Saccharomyces cerevisiae S288C: one gene and its partner. Each later gene encodes a partner of the first gene's protein in a complex. Each region holds a gene or a part of one and is shown on either strand. Other genes may lie near its edges.

Region 1 (3,520 bases):
ACATCTGCAGATTCTACCGTTTAATAGTCTTAATTTGAAGAGAAATAAAAATGCGTAAGTGTAAAATTTTTGTTGGTAACTCTCACCCAGAGTTGGGTAATATGGTTTGCCAAAGATTAGGTATCGAACCAGCTCCATGTACATTAAAAAAATTTGCAAATGGTGAAACGTCAGTTCAAATCGGTGTATCTGTTCGTGACGAAGATGTGTATGTCATTCAATCTGGTTCTCCATCCATAAATGATGACATTATGGAACTGTTGATTTTAGTTTCTGCCTGTAGGGGCGGATCTGCTAGGAAAATTACAGCAGTCATTCCTCAATTTCCTTACTCTAAACAATGTAAAATGAAGAGACACAGAGGCGCTATTACTGCAAGGATGTTGGCCAATCTGTTGGTCATGGCTGGCGCTGATCATGTTGTGTCTATGGACCTTCATGCTTCTCAAATGCAGGGGTTTTTCACCAAACCAGTCGATAACCTATACGGGGGCCCTAGTTTAGCGAAATGGATTAGAGAAAATGTTGAAGACTATGAAGATGCAGTAGTTGTCTCTAAGAATCCAGGTGGTACTAAAAGAGTTACAGCCCTGGCGGATTCTTTGAAGATCAACTTTGCTATGATCCATACTGATCGTCGTCGTTCTAAGGATCTGTATTCTCAAAACAAGGATTTGCAACAACTAAAGTTGAGAAAGCAATCAATGTTGAGGAAAAATAGACCGATCATCAGACAAGGTGACCATCCAAATGAGGAGGAAAACATTATTTTAAGTAACGGTATTCAAACTGCTAGGATCCGTAACGGCCACGTTATCGGTGACGATGAGGCAGACGATGATGAAGACGCTATCTTAGAATCTGACAGCGAATTGCATTCTATTGATGGCTTAGACTCGCATGGCTTGGGCGGTACATATGATGCTGTCGACTCCGAAGACGAAGAGGAAATCCCAGTTCTCTATAGGGAACAACTGATTACATTGGTCGGAAACGTCCGTGGTCGCTCTGCCATCATTCTAGATGATATGATTGATAGACCTGGGTCATTTATTAGCGCTGCTGAACATTTGGTGCAAAATTGTGGTGCCAAAAAGGTTTATGTTGTTGCTACTCACGGTATATTCACTGGAGACTGTTTGGAAGAACTTGAAAAGTCCGATGCCATTGACACAATTGTGGTCACAAATACATATCCGATTTCTGGCGAACGCATAGCTGGGTCCAAGAAATTGGTTACTATCGATGTTTCTCCAATTTTCGCAGAATGTATCCGTCGTGATCATTATGGTGAGAGTATTTCCGTTTTATTTGACTCTTTGGCAGCTCTGTAAACAGAAGAGAGTGTGCGCAATATTTTAGTTCTTAAATATGACATAGATTATCAAAAAACTTTGTATGTTTGCCAGATTTCAGTGAATCTGCAAGAGTATAAATTATAGGAATTTGGGTGAATTAAACCATTTATTATGTTTTATGTATCATGGAAAAAACAGAACCTTTATCAAATCATCTATGAAATTTTGACAGGTTAGCCATTTTCCTCATTTTATTGCTCTGCAATAGTAAATTATATAGATTTATGCAATGCTCTAGGTTCCGGCGGCTTTTCATTTAATGTGAACTCAAGACTATTATCATCCAAACACATTACAACATCCGTACATTTAGTTGGCTCCATTTTTTGAAAAAATACTTCCGAGTAAGATGCTGAAAGTAATCAAATTCCGTGAAAAAGGAACCGATTTGGTAAGGGCGGACCTGCCGGAAGAAAATCGCTCCCGCGTGTCTACTGGACTTTGCTTCTTTGCCAGGCGGGAGAATGAAGCCCACCGGCCTAGCTCTATGGGCGCAGACAGGGATGGTCTCGATTTGCTTTCTCACTGCAATGGAAATTTCTAACATTAGAGCTTCAACGGCTAGCATAAAACAACTACTAACGTTTTCAGTGCTATATTCGAAAGAGCAAACAAAGAGTCCTCAAGAACTACTAATAGATTAAAATGGCTAGATACGGTGCTACTTCCACTAACCCTGCTAAATCCGCTTCTGCTCGTGGTTCCTACTTGCGTGTTTCTTTCAAGAACACCAGAGAAACTGCTCAAGCTATTAACGGTTGGGAATTGACCAAGGCTCAAAAATACTTGGAACAAGTTTTGGACCACCAAAGAGCTATTCCTTTCAGAAGATTTAACTCTTCCATCGGTAGAACTGCTCAAGGTAAGGAATTTGGTGTCACCAAGGCTAGATGGCCAGCTAAGTCTGTTAAGTTCGTTCAAGGTTTGTTGCAAAACGCCGCTGCCAACGCTGAAGTATGTCAAGAATATTATATGTTTAGTACCAGATGAAACAAGAATGAGTTGAAATTCAAAATGCGCGGAAAATCCATTATGATCAAGGGAAATTGAATATGATAAATGAATTATTCAGAAAGTCACAATTACCAGATTGGAATGAACTGTCAAGCTGAAAAGCAACTAAGGATTACCATTACGTGTTTATGATTTTGTTAGAAAAATATTGAAAACTTGATATTTCTTTCCGCTAGTTTCATCTTTTTCAATTACTTAACCGGATCAAAATTTTTTTTACTAACAACATAACTATTTTTATTACAGGCTAAAGGTTTGGATGCTACTAAATTGTACGTTTCTCATATCCAAGTTAACCAAGCTCCAAAGCAAAGAAGAAGAACTTACAGAGCTCACGGTAGAATCAACAAGTACGAATCTTCTCCATCCCACATTGAATTAGTTGTCACTGAAAAGGAAGAAGCTGTCGCCAAGGCTGCTGAAAAGAAGGTCGTTAGATTGACTTCTAGACAAAGAGGTAGAATCGCCGCCCAAAAGCGTATTGCTGCTTAAATAGAAGATGAAAAATAATGATAATATAATTCTCTGTTAATTTTAATCTTTTATCTATGTAATTTTATCTCCCCGTCATATCACATAACTCTAAAATAAGTTTTTTATTAATATTATTATATTATATCGGATAATCCTACGTTCAAAGTATTGAACATAGTTTTATAATGAACAAAGGTATAAGAAATGCTCATAAACTGAAAAAATCCCGTAGATAAGATAATAAGAAATGCTACTGTCTATATCAATATGTCAATCGTTACTCATTCCCTCTCTAGTACGGAACGTGTGCGTTCTTCATACCGAGCTATTAGAATTTAGTGAATAAAGGCATCTATCGATTTATGCCATGAACTGAACCAACGCCTGCAGCTACTTTTTCTGCTCCCCCAAGTCCTCCGTTGAGATTTGAAGAAGACTTTGCCGATTGTACTATACCAACCTCAGGTGTCATGTAGCCGCTAATATTAATCACATACATGCTCATCATGAATACGAGTCCGTGTAAACCGATACAGTAAAAGAGGAATACCATCCTTGTCATTTTATTTTGTAAAATGACTTTTGCAAAACTGGAAAATAACTTCTCTAAAGCTGATAATTTCTTGTTTTTGTAGTGGTTTAATTCGTTCTGTCTAAAATTTGCCATTGGATGC
Region 2 (3,236 bases), on another chromosome or scaffold:
ATAACAAAGTAAACAGAGCGCATTTTTTGGAGTATTTTATACGTCAATGCGACTTTGATACCTGAAATCCCCTTAATATTGGTAGGAACATTGGGCTCAAGCGATGCATTTTCTCTTGCATTTTGTTTCTCACTATTTGTCTTTTCTACTTTCAATTTTCTTATCTTTGTTCTATTCCCGTTCCTGTTCTATTCCCGTTTTATTTGCTGTGAGCAGGCCTTGTTATTGCCAACGTTTAAAACCATTTACTTTTTGTTTAAAAATCTCTCTTCTATTTCCACATCTCACCTAAAACAACGATCATTATATAACATGAGGTGTATTGTTTTTCCTCACCATACGATCAAATATAACATCACAAAGCTTACAGCAGAGCGACACTTTTTTGCTTAACAATTTGTATTTTGTATGATGCATCCAAGTCTTGCGCCAAGAAAGTCTACATTATAGGAAAGATCAAAGGAACTTGAAATAATGTATTCCTTTTTCTTTTCACGCCCTTTCTCTGGGTGATTGCCGCAATGAAGATATAAATATGCGAATAAAAAACCAATGCTCAATACAAATGCACTTATGAAACTGTAGTTAAATTATAATTTTACCTGCATATATATTATTATAGAAGTTCGTTAAAATAATTATATTTAAAATTTCAACATGTGTGGCTTGTCACCGTTCTTCAAAGAGAAAGAAGCAGACAAGTATTGCTTCAATAATGGAGTCTTCTTGATTTCAGCAATCAAAGCCTTGTCGACAACCTTTTGGTCTTCAACACGTTCAGCCTTGATTTCCTTGTTTTGTTGTTCTGGGAACAAGTTAGCTTCCTTCTTTTCCTTCTTAGTCAATTTTTCCTTAGCAAAGTATTCGACATTGAATTTTTCAACGTTGACACCTTCGACAGAAACCTTAGTAGAGGTAGCAATGACGTAACGAGCATTGACTCTTCTCAAAGGAACACCATTGACCTTGAATGGACCAGAAATCAACAAAGTGTTGTCTTCTAGATGCTTCAAGTAAACAACTCTCTTACCTCTGAAACGACCAGCTAGTAAGATCAAGACGGTACCTGGAACTAGAGAGGCACGCAACTTTTGTGGGCGAGCAGCCTTTCTGGTCTTCTTTAGAGCAGCGACGTCTTCGGATGGATACCACTTTGGAGCCTAAATGGAAAAAAGAAATATCAAACGACTAATGTTAGTATTCTTGATTTGCGAATGGTGATAAATTTTTATAGGGAGAGATTATGCCTAGCGATTTGAAACTGTAACGTGGGCCTTTGTTTGGAAACTAAATAATCATGAGCTAGGGTCGATATACCTTATTGCTTTGCTCACCTTCTCACTCATAGTATTAACATTGTGTTGAAAGGTATACTGCCTTAATCATTTATCCTCACTGTACACTGTATAACGTCATTTATCAGTTTTCATTGTATTATTTTGTTCGACGTCCTGATCTTATTGTTTCTTGTATGGATATGTCTGAGATTGATGGCATCATATCAAATTTCAAAACTTATGCCTTCGTGAATGTAAATTGACATCTCCCCCTCGAAATTAACATGTAGGAACATACTTTTTGGGCACTCATTTCGTTGGATGGCTATTACTTTGTTGTTTCGCCTAATGTAAAACTGATATTCAATCTTTAATGAGTAGTACATTTAATCTATTCATGTAACCCTTCCATTCGATAACCTCCATACCAACGAAATTTTGCAAAAGGAACAAAGCACACTCCAGTGGGAAACTGGACAAATCCGGTGAGTCCTCCCAGACGGGAAACGTGTCTCTCGCTTCTGTTGTCCGCCCAGCGGAGAAGCCCTCTCCAGAACGCTTTAGCCGCAACCGCAATGGTCTAGGCGGGCCGCTTTTCGAATCTGGTTAAGGAAAAAACTGAAGAAAAATATAACAAATCCATACATTTTAATAATGTACGGATTTAATAGCAGTCTTCACATTTCTTTCTTCTCCCTAAGCAGTAACAGGAGAGCGTTGAAATATGTTGTAATATATGTTGTAATATATTATAGTAAATATAACGTTATATAATAATAGCGCAAAATTATAACAAACACAGAAAAGACACCTGTTAACACACCAAATGTGCCCTTATTGAGCGTATAAAAGAATAGTTTTCACTGTTTATTACTGCGTGTATTCTTGAGGAACTTCTGGCACGGGAGGTACCTGACCATTCTTGTCTTTACCGTAATTAATCTTTACAATCAGATGACCGTCTCCTAATTTTACAGAAATTTGGCCATCTTGTTGAATTTGAGGGTCACCCAAGTTGATTTGAGCAATACCAAGATCTTTGTCCCTCGATAGTCTTTGATGGGAAATTGCACCCAGTACCAAATTGGCTTCGGGAGAAGCCTTGAACGAGCACTCTTCATCAAATACGGCAACACCATCATTATTGGCTTTTTGGCTTTTCGTTTTGTATATGTGTTTTAGTCTACCACCTTGAGTTAAAGAGATCTTAATTTGAACATGCTTGGCAACGTTTTCCGCAGCAACCACGGTAATAAAACCATTGTAAGTGCCATGAGGAGCTAAAGTACGCGCAAAACTGCTTGCACGAGAATGTCCTCTAGAGTTGCTACTAGGGGTATCTTTTTTGTTGCTTGAGCTAGAAGTGTTGTCAGTTGGCTTGACTACAGGAGATGCGCTTTGAACGGGCGCGTAACTTGTGTTAGGTACTGATGGATCATAGTCTAGTGAAGCTCTTGGTGTTACACTAGTGCTATTCAAATTACTTGGGGATCTCCTATCAAAAGATTTTTTCTCTGATGATTTTTTTGCACCGTTGGACTCATTTCCATTGCTGCTCTTGCTTCTTTTCATTGGATTGCCACCTAGAGATTTTAGAAGGTGACCACCTTTCTTTAAACCACCAGTGGCAACTCCTGTTGCTGCTCCTATACCAGTACCAGCTATGCCAACAGTTGCATGGGCTGCACCACTGGCTATTTTCATCGGCTTATCAGTGATACCGCCTTTCACGATATCAAAACTTGGCTTGATATATTCTGGGTTGAATGAACCTTGTAATTTGATACTTCCTTGTGTGTTTAAATTCAAATTCCAGTTGTAAGTTTTACCAACTTCTAATGAGGAAACGTCAAGTGAAGCTTGGCCTAAGTCGTCATTATCACCTGCACGATCCCAATCAAGAACATTAAATATGACTTGATTCTTACTTCTTGAAAGGATTGGTATTTTAGCATCTTC

The links. The genes of interacting proteins can lie anywhere in the genome.
Region 2: RPL17A (region 1) and RPL6A share a complex: the UniProt entries of both Saccharomyces cerevisiae proteins name them as parts of the large ribosomal subunit.

What each region holds. Positions count from the first base shown.
Region 1 is NC_001143.9:107,266-110,785, forward strand, and holds RPL17A (60S ribosomal protein uL22 RPL17A), read left to right. Parts: upstream 1-2,003; coding exon 2,004-2,312; intron 2,313-2,618; coding exon 2,619-2,864; downstream 2,865-3,520. Other genes in the region: ribose phosphate diphosphokinase subunit PRS1, read left to right, coding at 51-1,334; CCAAT displacement transcription factor COY1, read right to left, coding at 3,199-3,520. UniProt on the Saccharomyces cerevisiae protein: Component of the ribosome, a large ribonucleoprotein complex responsible for the synthesis of proteins in the cell.
Region 2 is NC_001145.3:122,583-125,818, forward strand, and holds RPL6A (60S ribosomal protein eL6 RPL6A), read right to left. Parts: upstream 1,591-3,236; coding exon 1,576-1,590; intron 1,161-1,575; coding exon 645-1,160; downstream 1-644. Other genes in the region: TCB3 (Tcb3p), read right to left, coding at 2,148-3,236. UniProt on the Saccharomyces cerevisiae protein: Component of the ribosome, a large ribonucleoprotein complex responsible for the synthesis of proteins in the cell.